Anolis sagrei: one gene and its partners. The protein of the gene in region 1 purifies or fractionates together with the protein of each later gene. This does not show direct contact. Links are inferred from orthologs where the notes say so. Each region holds a gene or a part of one and is shown in the gene's direction. Other genes may lie near its edges.

Region 1 (7,593 bases):
CAGACTAATCTGATCTCTTTTTTCGATAGAGTTACAAGCTGGGTAGATGCGGGGAATGCCGTGGATGTAGCGTACCTGGATTTCAGTAAGGCCTTCGACAAGGTCCCTCATGACCTTCTGGCAAACAAACTAGTCTAATGTGGGCTAGGCAAAACTACGGTGAGGTGGATCTGTAATTGGTTAAATGGACGAACCCAGAGGGTGCTCACCAATGTTTCCTCTTCATCCTGGAAAGAAGTGACGAGCGGAGTGCCGCAGGGTTCCGTCCTGGGCCCGGTCTGTTCAACATCTCTATTAATGACTTAGATGAAGGCTTAGAAGGCATGATCATCAAGTTTGCAGACGACACCAAATTGGGAGGGATAGCCAATACACCAGAGGACAGGAGCAGGATTCAAAATGATCTTGACAGATTAGAGAGATGGGCCAAAACTAACAAAATGAAGTTCAACAGGGACAAATGCAAGATACTCCACTTTGGCAGGAAAAACTGATGATGTATCTAGAGCAAATTTGCCCAACATAACAAAATTTTAAGTACTGGTGAAATTTCTCAGGGTTAACCTGGCGTTATGTCAGTTGTAGTTCATACACATTGTGCATTTTGTACAATTGAAAAACTGACTTTTTCAAATAACCTGGGCAACGATGGGTACCCAAGCTAGCACAATAAAAATTTATACAAAAGAAGAAAAATAAAATATTTTCCCTCATCCCCTAATTTCATGAGTATTGAAACATTTTTAATTGACTGAACAGGCCTAATAATAATAAGCCATTGTATATAATGGGATTTGGGTATCCACTGATGGTCCTGGAACCACATCAAGCAGATACCAAAGCTCCTGTATAAAATCCACATTGAACTGGATTATATGGCAGTGTGGACTCATATAATCCAGTTCAAAGCAGATATTGTGGATTATCTGCTTTGATATTTTGGGGCTTTTTCCACACAGCTGAATAAAATCACTCATTTTCTCCTTTGAACTGGAATATATGGAAGTCTGGACTATCCCAGGGCCCTTCCACACAGCCCTATATCCCAGAATATCAAGGCAGAAAATCTCACAATATATATTATTGTTAGTATTATATTGCATTACATAATATTATAAATATTATATGTATATACAATATATTATATTGCTTTATATTATATTGGGTTGTTGTAGGTTTTTTGGGCTATATGGCCATGTTCTAGAGGCATTCTCTCCTGACGTTTCGCCTGCATCTATGGCAAGCATCCTCACTACTTCTGAGGATGCTTGCCATAGATGTAGGCGAAATGTCAGGAGAGAATGCCTCTAGAACATGGCCATATAGCCCCCCCCCCCCCAAAAAAACTACAACAACCCAGTGATTCCGGCCATGAAAGCCTTCGACAATACATTATATTATACTAGCTGTCCCCTGCCATGCATTGCTGTGGCCCAGTCTGTTGATCTAGAAAATAAAGTAATGAGAAAATGTTGGTTTCTAATATATGTAATTTCTTTATGCTTGTGGGTAAACAGCATTTCTGGTTGTTTCTTTGCCATTGTTGATGTGGAGATTGTCTGGTTTGCCCATCCTGGAACATGCAACATATCATTGTCCTTCTTTAGGGGTCCCTTTCAAATCTAGGATACTATATCTCTGTGTGTGTGAATAATATCTATCTATCTATCTATCTACCTATGGCTGGATGGTTCTTTGTTAGGAGGGCTTTGATTATGTTTTCTTGCCCTGGTGAAGGGAGTTGGACTGGATGGCCTTAAGTATTTTCTGTTGGTCATGGGGGTTCTGCGTGGGTAGTTTGGCCCGATTCTGTTGTTCGTGGGGTTCAGAATGCTCGTTGATTGTAGGTGAACTGTGAATCCCAGTAACTACAACACCCAAATGTCAAGGTCTATTCTCTCAAACCCCATCTGTGTTCATATTTGGGCGTATTGAGTGCTTGTGCCAAGTTTGGTCCAGATTCATCATTGTTTGAGTCCACAGTGCTCTCTGGATGTAGCTGAACTACAACTCCAAAACTCAAGGTCAATGCCCTTCTAGTGTTTTCTATTGGTCATGGGAGTTCTGTGTGCCACGTTTGGTTCAATTCCATCATTGGTGGAGTTCAGAATACTTTTTGATTGTAGGTGAACTATAAAGCCCAGCAACTACAACTCCCAAATCAAAAATTTTTGAATAAAGGACATACATTGGTTTGTTAGGTGTATGCTGTCCAAATTTGGTGCCAATTGGCCCACTGGTTTTTGAGTTTTGTGAATCCCACAAAGAAACATTACATTTTTTATTTATATAGATTATATTATTAGCATAGCACAGGCCACAAGGTGGAACTGCCCCCTGCCCCCCCCCTCACTTCACTCTGGCTCAGAGTGGCAAGTGGTGCTGGGGGGAGGGGCCCCCAACTGAAGACATTTAGGCCCCTTCCACACAGCTGTACAAAATCCACATTGAGTGGCAGTTGGTGCTGGGGAGAGGGCCCCCCAACTGATGACATTTAGGCCCCTTCCACACAGCTGTACAAAATCCACATTGAGTGGCAGTTGGTGCTGGGGAGAGGGCCCCCCAACTGAAGACATTTAGGCCCCTTCCACACAGCTGTACAAAATCCACATTGAGTGGCAGTTGGTGCTGGGGAGAGGGCCCCCCAACTGATGACATTTAGGCCCCTTCCACACAGCTGTACAAAATCCACATTGAGTGGCAGTTGGTGCTGGGGAGAGGGCCCCCAACTGAAGACATTTAGGCCCCTTCCACACAGCTGTACAAAATCCACATTGAGTGGCAGTTGGTGCTGGGGAGAGGGCCCCCCAACTGAAGACATTTAGGCCCCTTCCACACAGCTGTACAAAATCCACATTGAGTGGCAGTTGGTGCTGGGGAGAGGGCCCCCCAACTGAAGACATTTAGGCCCCTTCCACACAGCTGTACAAAATCCACATTGAGTGGCAGTTGGTGCTGGGGAGAGGGCCCCCCAACTGAAGACATTTAGGCCCCTTCCACACAGCTGTACAAAATCCACATTGAGTGGCAGTTGGTGCTGGGGAGAGGGCCCCCCAACTGATGACATTTAGGCCCCTTCCACACAGCTGTACAAAATCCACATTGAGTGGCAGTTGGTGCTGGGGAGAGGGCCCCCCAACTGAAGACATTTAGGCCCCTTCCACACAGCTGTACAAAATCCACATTGAGTGGCAGTTGGTGCTGGGGAGAGGGCCCCCCAACTGATGACATTTAGGCCCCTTCCACACAGCTGTACAAAATCCACATTGAGTGGCAGTTGGTGCTGGGGAGAGGGCCCCCCAACTGAAGACATTTAGGCCCCTTCCACACAGCTGTACAAAATCCACATTGAGTGGCAGTTGGTGCTGGGGAGAGGGCCCCCCAACTGATGACATTTAGGCCCCTTCCACACAGCTGTACAAAATCCACATTGAGTGGCAGTTGGTGCTGGGGAGAGGGCCCCCCAACTGAAGACATTTAGGCCCCTTCCACACAGCTGTACAAAATCCACATTGAGTGGCAGTTGGTGCTGGGGAGAGGGCCCCCCAACTGAAGACATTTAGGCCCCTTCCACACAGCTGTACAAAATCCACATTGAGTGGCAGTTGGTGCTGGGGAGAGGGCCCCCCAACTGAAGACATTTAGGCCCCTTCCACACAGCTGTACAAAATCCACATTGAGTGGCAGTTGGTGCTGGGGAGAGGGCCCCCCAACTGATGACATTTAGGCCCCTTCCACGCAGCTGTACAAAATCCACATTGAGTGGCAGTTGGTGCTGGGGAGAGGGCCCCCCAACTGATGACATTTAGGCCCCTTCCACGCAGCTGTACAAAATCCACATTGAGTGGCAGTTGGTGCTGGGGAGAGGGCCCCCCAACTGAAGACATTTAGGCCCCTTCCACACAGCTGTACAAAATCCACATTGAGTGGCAGTTGGTGCTGGGGAGAGGGCCCCCCAACTGAAGACATTTAGGCCCCTTCCACACAGCTGTACAAAATCCACATTGAGTGGCAGTTGGTGCTGGGGAGAGGGCCCCCCAACTGAAGACATTTAGGCCCCTTCCACACAGCTGTACAAAATCCACATTGAGTGGCAGTTGGTGCTGGGGAGAGGGCCCCCCAACTGATGACATTTAGGCCCCTTCCACGCAGCTGTACAAAATCCACATTGAGTGGCAGTTGGTGCTGGGGAGAGGGCCCCCCAACTGATGACATTTAGGCCCCTTCCACACAGCTGTATAAAATCCACACTGAACTGGATTATCTGGAAATGGACTTGATATTCTGATATGTCTGCGTGGAAGGGTTCCAAGGGCCTGTTGTACTTCTCCCTAAATATCAGGTTTCCATAAGGAGGCACCATGGCAGTGGCAGCTGAACAGCAGCACTTATAATGCGATATAATAGTACGAATAGGCTTTCACTTGGTTGTCTCTCTCGCGCGTGGCCCCTCTCTCCTCGCTCTGGTGAAAGCCTAGCCTCCCTCTCTCTCGCGCGCGCGCTCTCCCTCTCCTTTCCTTGGCCGCGGCGGGGGGTTGCCATGGTTCCGCGGGTCACGTGCGCAGGCGCGCGCGCGGGAGGCTTTCGAGGCGCGCGGAGCCGGGTGTGTGTGTGTGTATGAGAGAGAGAGAAGGAGCGCGCGCGTGCGGGAGAGACAGAGCGAGCCAGCGCGAGGCTCCTTCTTCCTCGAGGGCGCCTGAGGGAAGCAGCAGCGGCAGCGGCAGCGGCGGGAGCGGGGCCGGCCACCGCAGTGGCTCCTTCATGCTTCCTTGACGCTTGACTCGCGGAGCGGCCCCTTCGCAGCGCCCGGCATGAGCATCTCCGTCCCGGAGGGGCTGACGGAGCTGCTGCAAGGCTTCACCGTGGAGGTGCTGAGGAGCCAGCCAGGGGACCTGCTGGACTTCGCCCTCCAGTACTTCGGGCGCCTCAAGGCCGAGGAGGAGGAGGAGGAAGAGGAGGAGGGAGGGGACGCCGGCCGGCTCCATGCCGCCTCGCCGGGGACCCCGAGGGGGAAGCAGGCGCCCCGCGGCGGGGTCAACTTCGCCGAGGAGCCCATGCAGACTGACTCCGAGAGCGGCGAAGGCGACGAGGACGGCGAGGCGGAGGGCTTCCCCGGTGAGACGCAGAAAAAAGCCTCCCCCTCCCCTCTGTGTGTGAGTGTGAGTGTGTGGGAGGAGGCGGGGCCATGAAGAGGAGGCCCCGCCCACTCCCAGGGGCGTGACCAGGGTCTAGTTAGACCACGCCCCCTCTCCCACCCTCTAGGTTAGTGTTTCTCAACCTTCCTAATGCTGGGACTCCTTAATACAGTTCCTCATGTTGTGGTGACCCCAGAGGCGGCCCTAAGTAATTTTCAATGGTAAGCAAACAGTATTTTGGCGCCTGCCCCCCCCCCCCCAACCAATCATTGATATATATTTTCTGTTCCTCGTGGGAGTTCTGTGTGCCATATTTGGTTCAATTCCATCATTGGTGGAGTTCAGAATGCTCTTTGATTGTAGGTGAACTATACATCCCAGCATTTATTTATTTATTTATTTGGGGTGCTTCTACCCCGCCCTTCTCAACCCCCTAGGGGGGACTCAGGGCGGCTTACAAAAGGCACAATTCGATGCCTGACACTTCATAAAATACAACATACAATTGTCAACAATTATAACTAATTAAAACAATCAAACAATACAGTCGCGGCAATAAAATCATATTGTGGCCAATGTTCATCGATTCATAAATCCATGATCCGTCTAGCATCGTCATTATCCTTTCCTACGCTGGTCGTCATTGTCTTTTGTCCACTGCCAGCTTACCCGAAGGCCTGGTCCCACATCCAGGTTTTTAACTTCCTTCTGAAGGAGAGGAGGGATGTTGATGACCTAATCTCCCCGGGGAGTGCATTTCATAGGCGAGGGGCCACCAACGAGAAGGCCCTGTCCCTTGTCCCCACCAGTCTCACTTGTGATAAAGGTGGGGCCGAGAGCAGGGCCTCCCCAGAAGATCTTAAACTCCGAGGTGGGACGTAGAAGGAGATACGTTCGGACAGGTACGCTGGGCCGGAGCCGTAAAGGGTTTTGTAGGTCAAAACCAGCACTTCGAATTGTGCTCGGAACTGGATCGGCAGCCAGTGGAGCTGACATAGCAAGTGAGTGGTATGCTCCCTGTATGACGCAGTAACTACCCAGTAACTACACTTGCCGCACTTGCTCCTTTGCCTGGCCCGCTTTGGGTCTGGAGGCGTGCCTGAAGACCCCGGCGTGTGCACCAAAAGTCACTTCTTCTCCTGTCTTTCTCCTCAGCCATTGGGACCGAGAGAGAGAGAGATACATAGAGGTGGAGATGCCCACCTTTCCTGAAGGTAGGCGCAAAAACAAAGGTGGGAGCGGAGGTGGGAGATACCTCCAGCCAGAGGGGCTCTCTCTCTCTCTCTCGGTCCCAATGGCTGAAGAGAAAGTCAGGAGAAGAAGTGACTTTTGGGACACACACTGGGGCCTTCAGACACGCCTCCGCCCCTTGGCCCACCCACGGATTGGGGAAAGGAGAGGAGGCGGGTGGAGCGCCGGGGGATCGGGAAAGGGAGCCGGTCATGGGGAAGGGATCGAACGCGGAGAATGATTGAGCGCCGGCTCTGCTTGCGCACCCGGTGGCCGGGTGGAGCAGGAACGAGAGGGGCTAGGTGAGGCTCAAGGGCCCGGCCCCTTTGGGAAGAGGATCGCCCGGCAGCAAGGCAAGAAACCCGAGGCTCCCCCCGGACTGCTAGGGCTGTTGTGAGCTAAGGGGGCGCTCCTCAAGTGGCGGTCGAGGGGCATTTACAGAGGCGCCTCTGCGCCCCTGGCAAAAAGTGTTCTGCGACCGCTTACTTCGCGTAATGGACGAGCCGCCCCTGGATGACCCCCAACCATAACATTATTATTGTTGCTACTTCATAACTGAAATTTTGCTACTGTTATGAATCGTAATGTAAATATCTGATATGCAGGATGGATTTTCATTCACTGGATGAAATTTGGCACAAATACCTGTTACACCCAAATTTGAATACTGATGGGGTTTGGGGGGGGGGGGGATTGAGTTTTTCATTTAAGAGTTGTAGTTGCTGGGATTTATAGTTAACTTACAATCAAAGAGCATTTTGAACTCCACCAACTATTGAAATTAATGAATCTTGGCACACAGAACCCTCATAACCAACAGAAAATACTGGAAGGGTTTGGTGGGCATTGACCTTGAGTGTTGGAGTTGTAGTTCACCTACATCCAGAGAGCACTGTGGATCAAACAATAATGGATCTCAACCAAACTTGGCACAAGTACTCAATATGCCCAAATGTGAACACTGGTGGATTTTGGGGGAAATAGGCCTTGACATTTGGGAGTTGTTGTTGCTGGGATTTATAGTTCACCTACAATCAAAGAGCATTCTGAACCCCGCCCATGATAGAATTGGGCCAAACTTCCCACACAGAATCCTCATGACCAACAGAAAATACTGTGTTTTCTTATTATCTTTGGTGACCCCTCTGACACCCCCTCACGACCCCCATAGGGGTCCCTACCCCCAGGTTGAGAAACACTGCTCTTGGTTGTGCCTTTCTTTGGGCAA
Region 2 (7,952 bases), on another chromosome or scaffold:
ACAGAGTTACTGTATATTCATATAATGCATTATAGGACCAGCGTAGATTCATATAATGCATTATAGGCCAGTTTAGGCTCATATTATGCACAATATGGCCAGCGTAGATTCATATAATGCATTATAGGTCAGTGTATGCTCCTATAATACACTATAGGGCCAGCGTAGACTCATATAATGTATTATAGGATCAGTGTAGACTCCTATGATGCACTATAGGGATAATGTAGACTCATATAATGCACTATAGGGATAATGTAGATTCATATAGTGCATTATAGTCAGTATGCATTACAGAGTCAGTGCATACTCATATAGTGCATTATAGGGCCAGTGTAGACTCATATAATGCATTATAGGATCAGTGTAGACCCGTATGATGCACTATATGGATAATGTAGGTTCATATAATGCACTATAGGGACAGTGTAGATTCATATAGTGCATTATAGTCAGTATGCATTACAGAGTCAGTGCATACTCATATAGTACATTATAGGGCCAGCATAGATTTATATAATGCATTATAGGTCAGTGTAGGCTCATATAATGCATTATAGGGACAGCGCAGACCCATACAATGCATTATAGGGACAGCATAGATTCATATAATGCATTATAGGTCACTGTAGGCTCATATAATGCTTGAGAGGGACAGTGTAGACTCATATAATGCATTATAGGATCAGTGTTGACTCATGTAATGCACTATAGGGACAGCGTAGACCCTTACAATGCATTACTGGGTCAGTGCCAATGCATATAATGTAATTCAACTACACTGAACTGCATCATATGGGTCTACACTGACTATATAATGCAGTTCCAAACTGCATTATATGTCAGTACGGATCCAGCCGTTGTCCTAGAGGGCACCAGGTTAGAGAAAAGGATAGGCAAAAATACATAAAAAGGAGAACCCACAGAAACTGCAATGGAAAAGGCTGGTGTTGGGAAGGGGATCCAAGGAAAGCTCCAATTTTGCCAGCAGCCAGACAGCATCTGCTTGTATCTGCAATGCACTAATCCTAATCCTAAAAGCATTCCTTCCCAGCTCTCGACTCGTTCCACCCGACCCACAGATGCTGGCCTTTCGTGGCTGAACCTGCCTTCCAAACAGACAAACAATGCCCAGACGCTGAACTTTTGCTGTCGTCGGCTGCAATTTCCCGGTTTAAGAGGGGCTTAATAATCGCCTGAAATGGACAACTCATTAAGATAAGACTCAACAAAAAGAGCCAATCCGATTAGCGTCGCTGGGCAAATTTGTTAACTGCTTCAAAATGATACCATCACCGTCCCCTCTTTCAGGTCTCGGCAGTACGACATAATCATACATAAATATTCATCTCAGTTAACTGGAACACTCAAGCAACTGGCTAAAAAATTGAAGAAAAATTGATATATATATATATATATATAGAGAGAGAGAGAGAGAGAGAGAGAGGAAGCTAAAAATCAAGGTATGTATGTATGTTGGTTTGTCCCACAATGGCTCCTTCATGGATTAGTGGATCTGGACCAAATCTGGCCCACAGACCCTTTGATGCTGAAAATTGGCGGTTTTTCAAAGCACCGCGGATCCCGAGGGATGCCTGGCAAGCTTCACTATCCAAGGATGTTTTGAGTCAGGAATCGGGAAGCTCAACAGGTTGAAGGCAAATGACAGAGACTTTATTCTGTCAATCTGCACAAAGGGGACAAGTGTAAAAGGATGATAACCATAAACAGGCATTTTTATACATGAAGATTCTCATGAATCAACATTGCTATGTTTTGAAACTCCCTCCCTTTCCCCTGATTGGTTGTCGCTGAGAAGCCAGCTGGCGTTCTCCAGGCCTCTGATTGGTCAGGAGGCAGGTCCTAGCCGGTGCACACCCTGATTGGAGGAAGCAGTGGTGACGTAGGCGGGGATCTCCTCCCAGCTGGCTTCCAATAGGCCGGTGGAGGTAGTCTTGGGGGAGATGTCTCCAGAGGCTATGCCAGCATTTCTCAACCTGGGGGTCGGGACCCCTGAAGGGATCACAAGAGGGCTATTAATGGGGTCTCCGAAGACCATAAGAAAACACAGTATTTTCTGTTGGTCATGGCGATTCTGTGTGGGAAGTTTGGCTCAATTCTATCGGTGGGGTTCAGAATGTTCTTTGATTTTAGGTGAGCTATAAATCCCAGCAACTACAACTTCCAAATGTCAAGGTCTATTTCCCCCAAACTCCACCACTGTTAACATTTAGGCATATTGAGTATTGGTGCCATGTTTGGTCCAGATCCATCACTGATTGCTGGGATTTATGGTTCACCTACAATCAAAGAGCCTTCTGAACTCCACCAGCGATAGAATTGGGCTAAACTTCCCACACAGAACTGCCATGATCAACAGAAAGTACTCTTGTTTTCTAATGTTCTTTGGCAACCCCTTTGATACCCCCGGCAACCCCCACAGGGGTCCCAACCCCCAGGTTGAGAAACATTGGTTTAGGGACTTATAAGCTAAAGCCAGCACTTTGGAAGGGTAAGGTGTATGAAGAAAAGAATGGAAGAAAGAAATAGAGAAGGAACGAAGGGAAAGATGTATGAAGGAAAGGATGGAAGAAGGAAGGAAGAAAGGAAGGAAGGAAGGAAGGGGAAGGTCTATGAAGGAAAGGATGGAAGAAGGAAGGAAGGAAGGAAGGAAGGAAGGAAGGAAGGGGATGGTGTATGAAGGAAAGAATGGAAGAAGGAAATAGAAAAGGAAGGAAGGAAGCAAGGAAGGAAGGAAGGAAGGAGAAAGTTATGAAGGAAAGAATGGAAGAAGGAAATAGAAAAGGAAGGAAGGAAGCAAGGAAGGAAGGAAGGAAGGAGAAAGTTATGAAGGAAAGAATGGAAGAAGGAAATAGAAAAGGAAGGAAGGAAGGAAGGGGATGGTGTATGAAGGAAAGAATGGAAGAAGGAAATAGAAAAGGAAGGAAGGAAGCAAGGAAGGAAGGAAGGAAGGAGAAAGTTATGAAGGAAAGAATGGAAGAAGGAAATAGAAAAGGAAGGAAGCAAGGAAGGAAGGAAGGAAGGAAGGAAGGAGAAAGTTATGAAGGAAAGAATGGAAGAAGGAAATAGAAAAGGAAGGAAGGAAGGAAGGGGAAGGTGTATGAAGGAAAGAATGGAAGAAGGAAATAGAAAAGGAAGGAAGGAAGGAAGGAAGGAAGGAGAAAGTTATGAAGGAAAGAATGGAAGAAGGAAATAGAAAAGGAAGGAAGGAAGGAAGGGGATGGTGTATGAAGGAAAGAATGGAAGAAGGAAATAGAAAAGGAAGGAAGGAAGCAAGGAAGGAAGGAAGGAAGGAGAAAGTTATGAAGGAAAGAATGGAAGAAGGAAATAGAAAAGGAAGGAAGGAAGCAAGGAAGGAAGGAAGGAAGGAAGGAGAAAGTTATGAAGGAAAGAATGGAAGAAGGAAATAGAAAAGGAAGGAAGGAAGGAAGGGGAAGGTGTATGAAGGAAAGAATGGAAGAAGGAAATAGAAAAGGAAGGAAGGAAGGAAGGGGAAGGTGTATGAAGGAAAGAATGGAAGAAGGAAATAGAAAAGGAAGGAAGGAAGGAGAAAGTTATGAAGGAAAGAATGGAAGAAGGAAATAGAAAAGGAAGGAAGGAAGGAAGGGGATGGTGTATGAAGGAAAGAATGGAAGAAGGAAATAGAAAAGGAAGGAAGGAAGCAAGGAAGCAAGGAAGGAAGGAGAAAGTTATGAAGGAAAGAATGGAAGAAGGAAATAGAAAAGGAAGGAAGGAAGCAAGGAAGGAAGGAAGGAAGGAAGGAGAAAGTTATGAAGGAAAGAATGGAAGAAGGAAATAGAAAAGGAAGGAAGGAAGGAAGGGGAAGGTGTATGAAGGAAAGAATGGAAGAAGGAAATAGAAAAGGAAGGAAGGGGAAGGTGTATGAAGGAAAGAATGGAAGAAGGAAATAGAAAAGGAAGGAAGGAAGGAGAAAGTTATGAAGGAAAGAATGGAAGAAGGAAATAGAAAAGGAAGGAAGGAAGGAAGGGGATGGTGTATGAAGGAAAGAATGGAAGAAGGAAATAGAAAAGGAAGGAAGGAAGCAAGGAAGGAAGGAAGGAAGGAGAAAGTTATGAAGGAAAGAATGGAAGAAGGAAATAGAAAAGGAAGGAAGGAAGCAAGGAAGGAAGGAAGGAAGGAAGGAAGGAGAAAGTTATGAAGGAAAGAATGGAAGAAGGAAATAGAAAAGGAAGGAAGGAAGGAAGGGGAAGGTGTATGCAGGAAAGGATGAAAGAAGGAAATAGAAAAGGAAGGAAGGAAGGGGAAGGTGTATGAAGGAAAGGATGGAAGAAGGAAATAGAAAAGGAAGGAAGGAAGGAAGGGGAAGGTTATGAAGGAAAGAATGGAAGAAGGAAGGAAGGGGAAGGTGTATGAAGGAAAGAATGGAAGAAGGAAATAGAAAAGGAAGGATGGAAGAAAAGGAAGGAAGGGGAAGGCGTATGAAGGAAAGAATGGCTCTTTTCACATTCAGCTGGCTGTGAAGGGGCGGTCCTTAGCCCTTTCCTATCGCTCACTGCGCAGGCGCTTCCAACATCCGGGCCTCCCCTCCCCTGGCATCCCTGAGTCCCTCAACAAAGATGGCGCGCGAAGCACCCTCAAAGAACAATTCCCCCAGGAAAGAAAGAGCTCGCCCTACCCTTGAGTGCAGTTGCCCTTTCAAGGGCGGCTGCGTCGGCTTCAAGATGGCCGACGGGCTTTTCCAAAATGGCGCTCAGCTCCACAGCGGATTATAGAGAGCTGATTGCCTAAAACTCTATTATTACTATTAATTATTTAGACTGGATGGCCATCTGTCAGGGACCCTTTTGTACTTTTCCTGGTTGGACAGGGTGGTCTCTATGTTTCAGTGAGTCTATGATTCTCGAGCCCCTCCTCCTTCCCCGCCCACTTTTGCCACATCGATTCCCTCAACAAAGATGGCGCCCGAGGCGTTTCTGGAGAGGGAAGAGGGCACGCGGCCTAAGGCGGTCTGCGGCTGCCCTTCTGAGGGCGGCTTCGTTGGCTTCGGGAAGATGGCGTCGGGCTGAGTGGCGGTTTGAATTCCGAGCCCGCCGCCAAAGTCGGGAGCAGAGCAGCCCGGGCCACCGGCGGAGGAGCCGCAGCCGCCCGCTCTCGTCCCCTCTCTCTCTCCCTCCGCCATGGACTCCCTCCCGGCGGAGGACCCCACCTTGCCCTTGGGCTTCAACGGCAGGTGAGGACGAGGGCGGGTTTGGCCCTCAAAAGGCGCTAGGCCGCGAAAAAGGGGGGGGGGGAGGGGGGAATTAACTCCTTCGGGCCCAAGACTGAATTCCAGTCGGAGGACAAAGAAGCAGGCGTGAGAGAAGAGAAGTCTTTCCAAGGGAAGGGAAATGGGTTCAGTAGAGCCTCCAGGCATAGGCGCAGTCTACCTGAGAGTAACATAGTATTATACAATAGAGCGTCCAGACACAGGCACAGTCTACCTGAGACTTGGATTGGTTTGCTTTTAGTATATAATGTAATAGAATATGAAACTAATAATACAATATAATAATAGATAACAATAATAATATTGCAATATAATAATACAATACTACTGGTACTTACTTAGGCTATCCTTTGTTGGCCGAGTATTCTTGTGGATCCGCAGGTGCCTGTGGAGCCCTATTCTTATTTCTTATTTATTTATTTACTTACTTTGCTTGTATACCGCAGTTTCTCAGCCCGTAGGCGACTCAACGCGGTTCACAACAAGAGCAAAAAAGTCAATCGTACAACATACAATATTTAAAACCCTTAACAGCCTAGTATACAAATAATGACACATCAATAACAACACATTAGCATCTCGTAACTAAAATCGTGATCCAATTCGTCATCCATAAATCCGTTCCTATATTCATCGTTCAATTGCACTATTTATCTGAACGCCTGTTCAAACAGCCAGGTTTTTAGTTTTCTTCAAAACACGATTAACGAAGGGGCTGATCTAATGTCCATGGGAAGGGCGTTCCACAGCCGAGGGGCCACCAAAGAAGGCCCTGTCCCTCGTCCCCGCCAGCCATGCTTGCGATGCAGGCGGGATTGAGAGCAGGACCTCCGCAGAAGATCTTAAAGTCCTGGTGGGTTCATAGGCAGAGATACGTTCGGATAGGTAGCTTGGGCCAGAACCGTTTAGGGCTTTATAGGCCAACGCCAGCACTTTGAATTAAGCCCGGTAGCAAATCGGCAGCCAGTGGAGCTGGTGCAGCAAGGGAGTTGTATTCTTGACCTGCATCTTCTCCCACAGTGAGGGCATTGGTTTCCAGGTGGACGGTGGTCCCGGTCCTCGGGGTTGGCTTGACGCACCTTCCTCTTGGCATGTTTCTTTCTTTTGTCCTCCATTTGTGCCTCTTCAAATTCTGCAGCACTGCTGGTCACAGCTGACCTCCAGCTGGAGACTTGTCCACAGCTGTGTAGACTTGTCCATAGCTTACTCATTGTCCGAGTAGGATTGTCTTCCAAGATCAGTGTCCTGGCGGTGGGTCCGTAGGTGACTGTGGAGCCCTATTCTTAATCTGCATGTTCTCCCGCAGTGAGAACATTGGCTTCCAGGTGGAAGACGGTCCCGGTTGGGGTTGGCTTGACGCGCCTTCCTCTTGGAACATTTCTCCCTTTCTCCCTCCATTCGTGCCTCTTCAAATTCTGCAGCACTGCTGGTCACAGCTGACCTCAAGCTGGAGACTTGTCCACAGCTGTGTAGACTTGTCCATAGCTTACTTACCTACTTAGATGAGCCCTCATTGTCCGAGTAGGATTGTCTTCCAAGATCAGTGTACTGGCGGTGGGCCCGTAGGTGACTGTGGAGCCTTATTCTTAATCTGCATGTTCTCCTGCAGTGAGAACATTGGCTTCCAGATGGAAGACAGTCCTGGTTGGTGTTGGCTTGATGAGCCTTCCTCTTGGCACATTTCTCTTTTTCGCCCTCCATTCGTGCCTCTTCAAATTCTACAGGACTGCTAGTCACAGCTGACCTCCAGCTGGAGCGCTCAAGGGCCAGGGCTTCCCAGTTCTCAGTGTCTATGCCAGAGTTTTTAAGGTGGCTTTGAACCCATCTTTAAATCTCTTTTCCTGCCCACCAACATTCCGTTTTCAGTTCTTGAGTTCAGAGTAGAGCAACTGCTTTGGGAAACGGTGATCAGGCATCCGGACAACGTGGCCGGTCCAGCGGAGTTGATGGCGGAGGACCATCGCTTCAGTGCTGGTGGTCTTTGCTTCTTCCAGCACGCTGACATTTGTCCGCTTCTCTTCCCAAGAGATTTGCAGGATTTTTCGGAGTCAGCGCTGATGGAATCATTCTAGGACTTGCATGTGACGTCTGTAGACAGTGCATGTTTCGCAGACATATAGCAGGGTTGGGAGGACAATAGCTTTATAAACAAGCACCTTGGTATCCCTACGGGTGTCCTGGTCCTCAAACACTCTCTGCTTCATTCAGAAAAATGTTGCACTCGCAGAGCTCAGGCGGTGTATTTCGGTGTCGATGTTGACTTTTGTGGTGAGGTGGCTGCCAAGGGTGCGAAAATGGTCAACATTTTCTAATGTTACACCATTAAGCTGTATTTCTGGCATTGGAGAGGGGATGGCTGGTGACTGCTGGAAGAGCACTTTGGTTTATCAATGTTTAATGACAGGCCAAGCTTCTCGTAAGCTTCTGCGAAGATGTGTAGAGTAGCTTGTAGGTCTTCTTCTGAATGCGCACAGACGTCGTTGTCATTAGCGTACTGGAGTTCTATAACGGATGTTGTTGTAATCTTGGTTTTGGCTTTCAGTCTGCTGAGGTTAAATAGCTTGCCATCTGGAACACGGCCAGACAGCCCGGAAAACTCACAGCAACCCATTGATGCCAGCCATGAAACCTTTGACAACACAGTGTTACTCCTGTTTCATTGTGCTGTTCTTACTTTGAAAATAGTGGCCATCCTCCAGAATCG
Region 3 (7,129 bases), on another chromosome or scaffold:
CACACTGTCCTGTGATATGGAGTTCATTGATGAAGTTGATGCTAGTTTCGGGAGAACAGGATGTGGCACAGCAGGGAGGTTGATGACAAATCCCCGGGTTCCTCACAGATGGAGAGATTTTTTTTTGTGTTGGGTGATCCAGTATGTCCATAGACTCCATTGTTCTGGATGGCCTGGCTATCAGCCCTCCGAGGTCCAGATAGATAGAGCCATTTACTTATTGTCCATGCAAATGGATCTGGTTGAGTCCTTTTTTAGGGGACTATCAGCCCAGGAAGTTTGGAAACTCCAAGAGCCATGAGTTGCTGGATCATGTAAAGGTTGTTTTCCTTAATATTTTCTAATATAGACATTAGGCCTGTTTGATCAAGAAAAAAATTGTTTCTAAAATCGATTTGTAATTGGGGTGTTTTTTTGTTTCGATATTTAAAATATTTACAAAACTTTCCAAAAAAATGTTTTGTTATTTACGAAATTTCGTAAATATTTACAAAACATTTTAGAAACAAATTTTTTCTTGATCAAACAGGCCTAGTAAGTGTGAATGTTGCAGTAATGGTCACCTTGATTAGCATTGAATGGCTTTCATTTCTCCCACCCTGGACATTCCATAGATAAACTGAAACTCCATTTGCCTAGTTTCCAACAGACCTCTGAGGAGGCCTGCCATAGATGTGGGCAAAATGTCAGGAGAGAATGCTTCTGGAACATGGTCATACATACAGCCCTGAAAACTCACAGCAAAAGAGCCTGAAAACTCACAGCAAGAGCGCCATCCGATCGGCTCCGGCTCCTGCGCCCTCCTCCTCCTCCTCCTCCTCCTCCTGGCACTTCCTGCAACACAGCTGGGAGGAGGAGGAGGAGGAGGAGGGCGCAGCAGCCGGAGCCGATTGGATGGCGCGCGCGCTCCTGCGCCCTCCTCCTCCTCCTCCTCCTCCTCCCAGCTGTGTTGCAGGAAGTGCCAGGAGGAGGAGGAGGAGGAGGGCGCAGGAGCGCGCGCGCCATCCAATCGGCTCCGGCTGCTGCGCCCTCCTCCTCCTCCTCCTGGCACTTCCTGCAACACAGCTGGGAGGAGGAGGAGGAGGAGGGCGCAGCAGCCGGAGCCGATTGGATGGCGCGCGCGCTCCTGCGCCCTCCTCCTCCTCCTCCTCCTCCCAGCTGTGTTGCAGGAAGTGCCAGGAGGAGGAGGAGGAGGAGGAGGAGGGCGCAGGAGCGCGCGCGCCATCCAATCGGCTCCGGCTGCTGCGCCCTCCTCCTCCTCCTCCTCCTCCTGGCACTTCCTGCAACATAGCTGGGAGGAGGAGGAGGAGGAGGAGGGCGCAGCAGCCGGAGCCGATTGGATGGCGCGCGCGCTCCTGCGCCCTCCTCCTCCTCCTCCTCCTCCCAGCTGTGTTGCAGGAAGTGCCAGGAGGAGGAGGGCGCAGGAGCGCGCGCGCCATCCAATCGGCTCCGGCTGCTGCGCCCTCCTCCTCCTCCTCCTGGCACTTCCTGCAACACAGCTGGGAGGAGGAGGAGGAGGAGGGCGCAGCAGCCGGAGCCGATTGGATGGCGCGCGCGCTCCTGCGCCCTCCTCCTCCTCCTCCTCCTCCTAGCTGTGTTGCAGGAAGTGCCAGGAGGAGGAGGAGGAGGAGGAGGAGGGCGCAGGAGCGCGCGCGCCATCCAATCGGCTCCGGCTGCTGCGCCCTCCTCCTCCTCCTGGCACTTCCTGCAACATAGCTGGGAGGAGGAGGAGGAGGAGGAGGGCGCAGCAGCCGGAGCCGATTGGATGGCGCGCGCGCTCCTGCGCCCTCCTCCTCCTCCTCCTCCTCCCAGCTGTGTTGCAGGAAGTGCCAGGAGGAGGAGGAGGAGGAGGAGGGCGCAGGAGCGCGCACGCCATCCAATCGGCTCCGGCTGCTGCGCCCTCCTCCTCCTCCTCCTCCTCCCAGCTGTGTTGCTCGCGCCGCCCCTTCACCCCGCCCGCCCCATTTACTGCTGGGTGCTTGGGAGCGCCGGATTGGCTCCCAGGCACCAGCAGCACAGCAGCCTCCATCCCATTAACGAGACGAGCTGAAGCTCGTAAAAAAAATGGGGCTGCTGTTTCGATATTTTTAAACCCTTCCGGGTTTGAAAATATGTTTTGAAATCGCGTCGGATATGGTAAAAATAACGATTAAATTACGAAATAACGAATTAACGAACTAAAACCGACAGGCCTAATAGACATACATAGATGCAGGGGATGGGGGTATGGGAGCATACATAGAGTTTATGGGGGGAGGGGGAATCATGCAGGGTCTAAGGGGAAATCATGTAAGCCCCCCAAAAGCCCATAAAAGTTCATAATGTTTGGCAAAAGTTTATAAAAGTTCCCATAAATTTCATGAAAGTTCATATGAACACATAAGAGTTCATGGGGGTGGGTGCATGGAAGTTCAGGGGAGCACTGAGTAGTCGGAGTCCATTCATAAAAACAGGAGGAGAGATAGGGGATTATGGGATCATTCCAGCCTGATGCCCTTGGCAAAACTATGAATTCCCTAATTTTGAACTATTTGTTCAGAATTCCGGGGGTGGGGTAGGGGTGGGTGGGGGGGCGGGTGACCTCCGATCACAGCCCTATATACCAGAATATCAAGGCAGAAAATCCCACAATATCTGCTTTGAACTGGGTTATCTAAGTCCACACTCAGATAATGTGGCATTTTCTGCCTTGATATTCTGGGATAAAGGGCTATGTGGAAGGGCCCTGGGAATATGGCAATGAGGACTCAGATAACCTAGATCAGGGGTCCTCAAACTAAGGCCCAGGGGCCAGATACGTCCCTCCAAGGTCATTTACCCGGCCCTCGCTCAGGGTCAACCTAAGTCTGAAACTACTTGAAAACACACACCAATAACAACAATCCTATCTCATTAGGCAAAAGTAGGTCCACACTTCCCATTGAAATACTAATAAGTTTATATTTGTTAAATTTTTTATTTTAATTATTGTATTGTTTTCAAGTGTTTTTTGCACTACAAATAAGATGTGCAGTGTGCATAGGAATTCATTCATGGTTTTTTTTTCCAAATTATAATCCGGCCATCCAACAGTTTGAGGAACTGTGACCTGGCCCTCTGTTTACAAAGTTTGAAGATCCCTGGCCTAGATTTTGAAAGCCACTCTATAATGATATAGAATCAATACCATTGGCATATCATGTTGTTCATTCGTTCAGTCGTCTCCGACTCTTCGTGACCTCATGGACCAGCCCACGCCAGAGCTCCCTGTCGGCCGTCACCACCCCCAGCTCCTTCAAGGTCAGTCCAGTCACTTCAAGGATGCCATCCATCCATCTTGCCCTTGGTTGGCCCCTCTTCCTTTTGCCTTCCACCTTCCCCAGCATAATTGTCTTCTCTAGGCTTTGCTGTCTCCTCATGATGTGACCAAAGTACTTCAACTTTGTCTCTAGTATCCTTCCTTCCAGTGAGCAGCCGGGCTTTATTTCCTGGAGGATGGACTGGTTGGATCTTCTCGCAGTCCAAGGCACTCTCAGCACTTTCCTCCAGCACTACAGCTCAAAAGCATCGATCTTCCTTCGCTCAGCCTTCCCTAAGGTCCAGCTCTCACATCTGTAGCTTACTACAGGGAATACCATGGCTTTGACTAGGCAGATCTTTGTTGCCAGTCTGATGTCTCTGCTCTTTACTATTTTATTTAGAGTGGACATTGCTCTCTTCCCAAGAAGATTTCATCTGATTTCCTGGCCACAGTCTGCATCTGCAGTAATCTTTGCACCTAGAAATATCATATAATATTCTAATATATGTTACTTTGCACACAGATCTGCTGATATTAATGAAATGTTGGTCTTTTAAGGACTAACATTGTAACGCAGGCATGGGGCAAACTTGGGCCCTCCGGGTGTTTTGGACTTCAACTCCCACAATTCCTAACAGCCTCAGGCTTCTTCCTTAAACGGCTGAGGAGGAAAAGGAAGAGGCCTGAGGCTGTTAGGAATTGTGGGAGTTGAAGTCCAATACACCTGGAGGGCCCAAGTTTTGCCCCAAGCCTGCTGTAACGTGTTGCAGTGAAGGCCCCAGGTGTGTCCTCTTCCTCAGCCCGGGCCCTGGCAGTGGCACCTCAAGGGCGCTCCTGCGCATGCGCGGTACGTCAGGCGACGCGGCGGGGGCGCGTGCGGCAGATGGAGACTGAAGGGGGCCGCGGCGGCCGCCGTCCGGAGAGGCAGTTGGGGATGGAGGCCACGAGTCTCGCGAGAGGAAGTGGCGAAGGGGCCCCAGCTGCGGCGGCGAGGTGGTTTGGGCTGCGGTGAGGAGGGCGCGGCGGAGGTCTGAGGCAATTGGCCGGCGGCAGGTAAGGCGGCGGCCCCTCAGAAAGACGAAGGGAAAGGAGCCCAATGGTGGCGGCCGAAGGAAGGAGGCCTGTCAGGCCCCGCATGCCTCTTCGCCCCATTTCCCTCACGGGTTATCTCTCTCTCACACACACACACAGCCCAGGGAAGGTTAATACTTGACCAATGCCCAAAGGAAGGATTTCTGAGGCGGGCCGTTGAGGCGTTTTTAGGTCGCTTGGGGCCGGAGTCAACTCCCAATTGCTTCGGCCACGAAGGGGTTACGGGCTGCCAGGCGTTTTGGACTTCAACTCCCAGAATCCCTGAGCGTCGGCCTAGGCAGCCAAGGCTTCTGGGAGTTGAAGTCCAATACCCGCGAAGGAACAGAGTCTGACAGCCTCTGACAGCTTGTCTCACAGCTTCGCCTCAGGATACAACTTTAGTAATAATAACAACAACGACAATAATAACAACTAGCTGTCCCCTGCCACGCGTTGCTGTGGCCCAGTCTGGTGATCTGGAAAATAAAGTGACGAGAAAGTGTTGGTTTCTAATATATGTAATTTCTTTCTGCTTGTGGGTAAACAGTATTTCTTCTTGTTTCTTTGTCAATATTGGTATAGAGATTGTCTGGTCTGCCTTCTCTGGAACATGCAACATATAATTGTCCTTCTTTAGGGGTCCCTTTCAAATCTAGGATACAATATCTGTGTGTGTGTGTGTGAATCATATATATCTATCTATATCTTGGCCCCCCCGGTGGCGCAGTGGGTTAAAGCACTGAGCTGCTGAGTTTGTTGACCAAAAGGTCGCAGGTTCGATTCCAGGGAGTGGTGTGAGCTTCCGCTGTCAGTCCTAGTTTCTGCCAACCTAGCAGTTTGACAACATGCAAATGTGAGTAGATCAATAGGTACCGCTCCGGCGGGAAGGTAACGGCGCTCCATGCGGCCATGCTGGCCACATGACCTTGGAGGTGTCTATGGACAACGCTGGCTCTTCGGCTTAGAAATGGAGATGAGCACCAAACCCCAGAGTCGGACACGACTGGACTTAATGTCAGGGGACAACCTTTACCTTTTTATCTGTGGCTAGATGGCTCTTTATCAGGAGGGCTTTGAATACATTTTCTTGCCCTGGTGAAGGGAGTTGGACTGGATGCCCTTAAGTATGGGGGTTCTGTGTGGGAAGTTTGCCCCAATTCTGTCATTTGTGGGGTTCAGCATGCTTTTTGATTGTAGGTGAACTATAAATCCCAGTAACTACAACTCCCAAATGTCAGGGTCTATTTCCCCCAAACTCCATCTGTGTTCATATTTGGGCATATGGAGCATCCGTGCCAAGTTTGGTCCAGATGCATCATTGTTTGAGTCCACAGTGCTCTCTGGGTATAAGTGTACTACAACTCCCAAACTCAAGGTCAATGCCTACCAAACCCTTCTAGTCTTTTCTGTTGGTCATGGGAATCCTGTGTGCCACATTTGGTTCAATTCCATCATTGATGGAGTTCAGAATGCTCTTTGATTGTAGGTTAATTATAAATCCCAGGAGCTACAACTCCCAAATGACAAAATCAATTTTTTTTTTTAGTGAAGGACATACATTAGGTTGTTAGGTGTATGCCGTCCAAATTTGGTGTCAATTTGTCCAGTGGGTTTTGAGTTGTGTTAATCCTACAAACAAACATTACATTTTTATTTATATAGATAATAATAACTAGCCGTCCCCTGCCATGCATTGCTATGGCCCAGTCTGGTGATCTGGAAAATAAAGTAAAGAGAAAGTGTTGGTTTCTAATATATGTAATTTCTTTATGCTTTTGGGTGAGTAGTATTTCTTGCTGTTTCTTTGTCAGTGTTGATGAGGAGATTATCTGGTTTGCCTACTCTGGAACATGCAGACTGTGCACGTTTGGGACTGTGCAATGAAGCAGCGATAGGAACCTTTAGTATGCCAACCAAATTTGATATGGTTGTTCAGACAGTTTTAAGTAGTGGATTTTAATGTCAAGATAAGTGGTTTTAATGCTTTTGCATGTGTATGGTCTAATATGTTTCGGCATTGAATGTTTGCAGTTTATATGTTGTGCTACGCCCTGAGTCCCCTTCGGGGTGAGAAGGGCGGAATATAAATGCTTTAAATAAATAAATAAATAAATAAATAAATAATTGTCCTTCTTTAGGAGTCCCTTTCAGATCTAGGATACTATATCTGTGTGTGTGTGAATCATATATATCTATCTATATCTATGGCTGGATGGCTCCTTGTCAGGAGGGATTTGATTACGTTTTCTTACCCTGGTGAAGGGAGTTGGTCATGGGAGGCCTGTGTGTGACGTTTGGTTAATTCCATCATTGGTGGAGTTCAGAATGCTCTTTGATTGTAGGTTAATTATAAATCCCAGCAACTACAACTTCCGAATGACAAAATCATTTTTTTTAGTGATGGTCACTCCTTGGGTTAGTAGGTGTCTTGTGGCCAAATTTGGCGGCAATTCGTCCAGCAGATTTTGAGTTATGATGTCACTCAAAACAAACAGAGCATTTAGATAGATAGATAGATAGATAGATAGATAATAATACAGACAGAGAAGCCATTGGAATCCACAAGCGTGTGGACAATTTCAATAGAAAGGAGGAAACCATGAAAATAAACAAAATCTAGCTACCAGTATGGAAAAAAACCCCACTAAAATCAGGACAGGAAATAAAGAACAACACTCTGAAAAACAGGGGAATTCCAGACAAGAATCAACCAGGGCCAGCTAACATATCCCAACAAAGGATGCCCCAGGCAGCAACCAGCCAGGCTTTGAAGCTGCA
Region 4 (7,127 bases), on another chromosome or scaffold:
CTTCTGGACACATTCCAGCTTGTCAATATCTCTCTTGAATTGTGGTGCCCAGAATTGGACACAATATTCCAGGTGTGGTCTAACCAAGGCAGAATAGAGCATGGGGAGCATGACTTCCCTGGATCTAGACACTATGCTCCTATTGATGCAGGCCAAAATCCCATTGGCTTTTTTTGCTGCTGCATCACATTGTTGGCTCATGTTTAAGTTGCTGTCCACAAGGAGCGCAATATCTTTTTCACACATACTACTCTCGAGCCACGCATCCACCATTCTGTATCTTTGAATTTCGTTTTTCTGCCTAAGTGGAGTCTCTTGCATTTGTCCCAATTGAACTTCATTTTGTTAGTTTTGGCCAATCATCTTTCTAATCTGTGAAGATCACTTTGAATTCTGCTTCTGTCTTCCGGAGTCTTGGCTCTCCCTCCCAATTTGGTGTCATCTGCAAACTCATGCTCCCCATGCTCTATTCTGCCTTGGTTACACCACACCTGGAATACTGTGTCCAATTCTGAGCACCACAATTGAAGGGAGAGGTTGACCAGCTGGAATGTGTTCAGAGGGCGACTCAAATGATCAAAGGTCTGGAAAACAAGGCCTATGAGGAGCGGCTTAAAGAACTGGGCATGTTTAACCTGCAGAAGAGAAAGCTGAGAGGAGACATGATGAGGTGCATGTATAAATATGTGAGAGGGAGTCATGGGGCGGAGGGAGCGAACTTGTTTCCTGCTGCCCTGGAGACTGGGACACAATGGAACAATGGCTTCAAACTACAAGAAAGGAGATTCCATCTGAACATGAAGAACTTCCTGGCTGTGAGAGCTGTTCAGCAGTGGAACTCTCTGCCGCGGATTGTGGTGGAGGCTCCTTCTTTGGAAGCTTTTAAACAGAGGCTGGATAGCCATCTGTCAGGGGTGATTTGAATGCAGTTTTCCTGCTTCTTGGCAGAATGGGATTGGACTGGATGGCCCACGAGGTCTCTTCCAACTCTAGGATTCTATGAACTCGAAGTTCTGGGAGTTAAAGTCCAAAACACCTGGAGGGCCCAAGTTTGCCCATATCTGGCCTAGACCCAGGGGTGGCTCAACCCAATACGCAAAGTAAACATTTGCAGTATAGTTGATTTTGCTCAGGCGCACTCTTGGGGGGAAATAGACCTTGACATATGTGAGTTGTAGTTACTAGGATGTATAGTTTACTTACAATCAAAGATCATTCTGAACTCCACCAATGATGGAATTGAACCAAATATGGCACACACAACTCCCACAACAGACAGAAAATATATATCAATGATTGGTTTGGGGGGGGGGGGTGCCAAAATACTGTTTGCTTACCATTGAAATGGTAAGCCCCCGGTGGTGCAGTGGGTTAAAGTACTGAGCTGCTGAGCTTGTTGATCAAAAGGTTGCAGGTTCGATTCCGGGAGCGGCGTGAGCTTCTGCTGTCAGCCCTAGCTTCTGCCAACCTAGCAGTTTGAAAACATGCAAATGTGAGTAGATCAATAGGTACCGCTCCGGCGGGAAGGTAACGGTGCTCCATGCAGTCATGCTGGCCACATGACCTTGGAGATTATTTATTTATTTATCGTGTCATCCGCAACCAGAACATTGTATTACATTTCTAGCAGAACAAAACAAACAAACAGATTAAAAAAAACAAATTTTGCAAACTTGGTAGCTGATTAAATGTCCCTTGACCAGTATCTGGCCACTTGGAGTGCTTCTGGAGTTGCCGCAAGAAGGTCCTCCATGGTGCATGTGGCAGGGCTCAGGTTGCATTGCAGCAGGAGGTCAGTGGTTTGCTCTTCTCCGCACTCGCATGTCGTGGATTCCACTTTGTAGCCCCATTTCTTAAGATTGGCTCTGCATCTCGTGGTGCCAGAGCGCAGTCTGTTCAGTGCCTTCCAAGTCGCCCAGTCTTCTGTGTGCCCAAGTGGGAGTCTCTCATCTGGTATCACCCACGGATTGAGGTGCTGGGTTTGGGCCTGCCACTTTTGCTGAGGTGTTCCAGCGAGAGTCTCTGTAGATCTAAGAAAAGTATTTCTTGATTTGAGTCGTTGACATGCTGGCTGATACCAAACAAGGGATGAGCTGGAGATGTCACTGCCTTGGTCCTTTCACTATTGGCTGCTACTTCCCGGCGGATGTCTGGTGGTGCAATACCGGCTAAGCAGTGTAATTTCTCCAGTGGTGTAGGGCGCAGACACCCCGTGATAATGTGGCATGTCTCATTAAGAGCCACATCCATTGTTTTAGTGTGGTGAGACGTTTTCCACACTGGGCATGCGTACTCAGCAGCAGAGTAGCATAGCGCAAGGGCAGATGTCTTCACTGTGTCTGGTTGTGATCCCCAGGTTGTGCCAGTCAGCTTTCGTGTGATATTGTTTCTAGCACCCACTTTTTGCTTGATGTTCAGGCAGTGCTTCTTGTAGGTAAGAGCACGGTCCAGAGTGACTCCCAGGTATTTGGGTGCGCTGCAATGCTCCAGTGGGATTCCTTCCCAGGTCATCCTCAGAGCTCGGGATGCTTGTCCGTTCTTAAGGTGAAAGGCGCATGTCTGTGTTTTAGATGGATTAGGGATCAGCTGGTTTTCCCTGTAATGGGCAGTGCGGCTGGCGGGTACGAGAGACAGGGCCTTTTCTGTGGTGGCCCCACGGCTATGGAACGCCCTGCCCTTGGAGGTAAGATCAGCCCCTTCATTGATGATATTCCGAAGAAGATTGAAGACCTGGGTGTTTAAGCAGGCATTTGGTTAACCCAATGCAACGAATGGTAACTGACTAAAGGACTGGCAACATGGATGACGAACTGGATCACGTTTTTAGTTAAGAGTCGAACTGGATTGGTATTGATGTATGAATTGTGTTTTTATGTTTTTTATGTTTTTTATGCTTTTAACTGTATACTGTTGATTGTTATATTATGTTGTAAACTGCGTTGAGTCGCCGGCTAGGCTGAGAAACGGCGGTATATAAATATAGCAAATAAATAAATAAATAAATAAATAAGAGCACCTAGAGCTTCGGAGAGCTTCTGTTCTGCCATCTCAAAGCTCCCTGCTTGAGCAGTAATGGCACGATCATCAGCATAGATGAAACTCTCTGTCCCTTCTGGCAGTGGCTGGTCATTTGTGTAGATGTTGAACATGGATGGAGCAAGCACGCTCCCCTGAGGCAGGCCGTTCTTCTGTTTCCGCCATCTGCTTCTCTGGCCCTGGAACTCAACAAAAAAGCTCCTGTTTTGTAGCAGGTTTCCTATGAGGCGGGTGAGGTGGTCGTCCTTTGTGATATTGTACATTTTTCTCAAGAGGAGGCGGTGGTTCACAGTCTCATAGGCTGCGGACAGGTCTATGAATATAGCTCCTGTGATCTGCTGACTTTCAAAGCCATCTTCTATGTGCTGAGTCAGGTTCAACACTTGCGATGTGCAGCTTTTGCCTTTCCTGGAGCCAGCTTGCTGTGGGATCAGACATGGGAATCAGACACCTTGGAGGTGTCTACGGACAACGCTGGCTCTTCGGCTTAGAAATGGAGATGAGCACCACACCCCAGAGTCAGACATGACTGGACTTCATGTCAGGGGACTACCTTTATCTTTTTTAGCCAGATTTTGTTCATTTAATGGTTTCACCCTTTCTGACAAGAGTCCTTTGCCCCACCCTGGTCATTCCACAGATATATAAACCCATTTTCCTAGTTCCAACAGACCTCACTACCTCTGAGGATGCTTGCCATAGATGCAGGCGAAACGTCAGGAGAAAATGCCTCTAGAACATGGCCATACAGGCCGAAAAAACCTACAACAACCTATTGTATGGTCCTTTCTCGTCTTACTCCATCAGTTCTGGAAGCCCATGTGTAGAATTAATTCAGTTTGATACCACTTTTGACTGCCATGGCTCAACACTGTGGAATTATACTACATCTCCCAGGGTCCCATAGCACTGGGTCATGAGAAAGCGGGTGAAATCGTTGCGCGGTCCCTCCTCGTCATTCCTTTGAGCCTGAGTCGGGTCACGCATGCGCAATGGGCAGCCTTGTCCTGCTCCCAGGGAGGGAAAGGGAAGTCTCGCGCGGGCTGGGAGGGGGTGGGGCGGAGGGGGCGGGGCGAGCGGGGCCTTAAAGGCGCGGTGGGCGGGGCCAAGAGGACGCTGTGTATTTTGGTCGGATGCCTCAGCGTTCTGAAGGGCCCCGGCGGGCGGGAGGCAGGGAAGGAAGGCGGCACGTGGAGCGGAGCGGGGCCCGGGCCCAGGCCGAGCAGAAGCCTCCCAGGACGGTGAGAGGGGCCTGCTTTGGGGCCCTTGCGCGCCCTTCCGGTTCTTCTGCCTTTGCCCCTTGGCGGGGGGGGGGTGTGTGTGTCAGTCTCAGCCCTTTAGTATTGTTGTGATACTACATACAAGGCTTGGATTTCCAACCAAGTTTGCAGGAGGCCCCTCTATTGGTATTCTATTACTATTAATATCATTACTGTGTTGTCTAAGGCTTTCATGGCCGGAATCACTGGGTTGCTGTGAGTTTTCTGGGCAGTATAGCTATGTCCCAGAAGCATTCTCTCCTGACGTTTCGCCCACATCTAGGCCTCCTCAGAGGTTGTGAGGAGGGGAGAAAGGTCTCTTGTCTGCAGACAAGAATGGCCTTGCAGCTTCAAAGCCTGGCTGCTTCCTGCCTGGGGAAGAACCCCAGGTTGGGAGGTGTTAGCTGGCCCTGATTGTTTCCTGTCTGGAATTCCCCTCAGAGATTGTGAGGAGGGGAGAAAGGTCTCTTATCTGCTGAAGGTTGCAGCAGACAAGAATGGCCTTGCAGTTTCAAAGCCTGGCTGCTTCCTGCCTGGGGAGGAATCCCAGGTTGGGAGGTGTTAGCTGGCCCTGATTGTTACCTGTCTGGAATTCCCCTCAGAGGTTGTCAGGTCTGTTGGAAACTAGGTAAGTGGGGTTTATATACTCGTATATATACTAGTTGTCACCTGCCACACACTGCTGTGGCCCAGTCTGTTCCAGAAGCATTCTCTCCTGATGTTTCGCCCACATCTTTGGCAGGCCTCTTCAGAGGTTGTGAGGAGGGGAGAAAGGTCTCTTTGCTGAAGGTTGCAACAGACAAGAATGGCCTTGCAGCTTCAAAGCCTGGCTGCTTCCTGCCTGGGGAGGAATCCCAGGTTGGGAGGTGTTAGCTGGCCCTGATTGTTTCCTGTCTGGAATTCCCCTCAGAGATTGTGAGGAGGGGAGAAAGGTCTCTTGTCTGCTGAAGGTTGCAACAGGCAAGAATGGCCTTGCAGCTTCAAAGCCTGGCTGCTTCCTGCCTGGGGAGGCATCCCAGGTTGGGAGGTGTTAGCTGGCCCTGATTGTTTCCTGTCTGGAATTCCCCTCAGAGATTGTGAGGAGGGGAGAAAGGTCTCTTATCTGCTGAAGGTTGCAGCAGACAAGAATGGCCTTGCAGTTTCAAAGCCTGGCTGCTTCCTGCCTGGGGAGGAATCCCAGGTTGGGAGGTGTTAGCTGGCCCTGATTGTTACCTGTCTGGAATTCCCCTCAGAGGTTGTCAGGTCTGTTGGAAACTAGGTAAGTGGGGTTTATATACTCGTATATATACTAGTTGTCACCTGCCACACACTGCTGTGGCCCAGTCTGTTCCAGAAGCATTCTCTCCTGATGTTTCGCCCACATCTTTGGCAGGCCTCTTCAGAGGTTGTGAGGAGGGGAGAAAGGTCTCTTTGCTGAAGGTTGCAACAGACAAGAATGGCCTTGCAGCTTCAAAGCCTGGCTGCTTCCTGCCTGGGGAGGAATCCCAGGTTGGGAGGTGTTAGCTGGCCCTGATTGTTTCCTGTCTGGAATTCCCCTCAGAGATTGTGAGGAGGGGAGAAAGGTCTCTTGTCTGCTGAAGGTTGCAACAGGCAAGAATGGCCTTGCAGCTTCAAAGCCTGGCTGCTTCCTGCCTGGGGAGGAATCCCAGGTTGGGAGGTGTTAGCTGGCCCTGATTGTTTCCTGTCTGGAATTCCCCTCAGAGATTGTGAGGAGGGGAGAAAGGTCTCTTGTCTGCTGAAGGTTGCAACAGGCAAGAATGGCCTTGCAGCTTCAAAGCCTGGCTGCTTCCTGCCTGGGGAGGCATCCCAGGTTTTTAGGTGTTAGCTGGCCCTGATTGTTCCCTGTCTGGAATTCCCCTCAGAGGTTGTTGTCAGGTCTGTTGGAAACTAGGTAAGTGGGGTTTATGTACTTGTATATATACTAGTCGTCACCTGCCACACACTGCTGTGACTCAGTCTGTTCCAGAAGCATTCTCTCCTGACGTTTCGCCCACATCTTTGGCAGGCCTCTTCAGAGGTTGTGAGGAGGGGAGAAAGGTCTCTTGTCTGCTGAAGGTTGCAGCAGACAAGAATGGCCTTGCAGCTTCAAAGCCTGGCTGCTTCCTGCCTGGGGAGGAATCCCAGGTTGGGAGGTGTTAGCTGGTCCTGATTGTTTCCTGTCTGGAATTCCCCTCAGAGGTTGTCAGGTCTGTTGGAAACTAGGTAAGTGGGCTTATATGCTCGTATATATACTAGTCGTCACCTGCCACACACTGCTGTGGCTGAGGCTGTTCCAGAATTCTCTTCCAGAAGCATTCTCTCCTGATGTTTCCCTCACATGTATGACAGGCATCCTCAGAGGTTGAGGGGTCTGTTGGAAACTAGGCAAGTGGGGTTTATATATCTATGGATTCATATAATGCATATTGTATATACATATAATATTTATAATATTATAACCATAGAGTCATAGAATCCTAGAGTTGGAAGAGACCTCATGGGCCATCCAGTCCAACCCCATTCTGCCAAGAAGCAGGAATATTGCATTCAAATCACCCCTGACAGGTGGCCATCCAGCCTCTGTTTAAAAGCTTCCAAAGAAGGAGCCTCCATGACACTCCGGGGCAGAGAGTTCCACTGCTGAACGGCTCTCACATAATGTAATGCAATATAATACTAGTAATAATAATACAATATTATAATTGTAATATTGTTGTCATTGTTTTTAGAGTTTTATTGTTTTTGCTTGATGTTTTATTATTTGCCTCTTTTTAAGCAGAGGGCCAGGTCACAGTCCCTCAAACTGTTGGAGGGCCAGATTATAATTTGGAGAAAAAAATGAATGAATTCCTA

The links.
Region 2: the proteins of PRKAR2B (region 1) and CDK5RAP2 purify together in Homo sapiens (affinity purification with mass spectrometry; 3 studies listed by BioGRID and IntAct, counting the BioPlex papers as one, with this or other methods). This does not show direct contact. The link is inferred for Anolis sagrei from reciprocal best matches to the Homo sapiens genes PRKAR2B and CDK5RAP2.
Region 3: the proteins of PRKAR2B (region 1) and AKAP11 purify together in Homo sapiens (affinity purification with mass spectrometry; 3 studies listed by BioGRID and IntAct, counting the BioPlex papers as one, with this or other methods). This does not show direct contact. The link is inferred for Anolis sagrei from reciprocal best matches to the Homo sapiens genes PRKAR2B and AKAP11.
Region 4: the proteins of PRKAR2B (region 1) and AKAP1 purify together in Homo sapiens (affinity purification with mass spectrometry; 3 studies listed by BioGRID and IntAct, counting the BioPlex papers as one, with this or other methods). This does not show direct contact. The link is inferred for Anolis sagrei from reciprocal best matches to the Homo sapiens genes PRKAR2B and AKAP1.

What each region holds. Positions count from the first base shown.
Region 1 is NC_090025.1:83,399,383-83,406,975, reverse strand, and holds the start of PRKAR2B (cAMP-dependent protein kinase type II-beta regulatory subunit), read left to right. Parts: upstream 1-4,585; 5' UTR 4,586-4,811; coding exon 4,812-5,115; intron 5,116-7,593. UniProt on the Homo sapiens protein: Regulatory subunit of the cAMP-dependent protein kinases involved in cAMP signaling in cells. Type II regulatory chains mediate membrane association by binding to anchoring proteins, including the MAP2 kinase.
Region 2 is NC_090031.1:14,494,226-14,502,177, reverse strand, and holds the start of CDK5RAP2 (CDK5 regulatory subunit-associated protein 2), read left to right. Parts: upstream 1-4,945; 5' UTR 4,946-5,159; coding exon 5,160-5,212; intron 5,213-7,952. UniProt on the Homo sapiens protein: Potential regulator of CDK5 activity via its interaction with CDK5R1. Negative regulator of centriole disengagement (licensing) which maintains centriole engagement and cohesion. Involved in regulation of mitotic spindle orientation.
Region 3 is NC_090023.1:145,617,841-145,624,969, reverse strand, and holds the start of AKAP11 (A-kinase anchor protein 11), read left to right. Parts: upstream 1-4,114; 5' UTR 4,115-4,333; intron 4,334-7,129. UniProt on the Homo sapiens protein: Binds to type II regulatory subunits of protein kinase A and anchors/targets them.
Region 4 is NC_090031.1:20,968,579-20,975,705, reverse strand, and holds the start of AKAP1 (A-kinase anchor protein 1, mitochondrial), read left to right. Parts: upstream 1-4,126; 5' UTR 4,127-4,277; intron 4,278-7,127.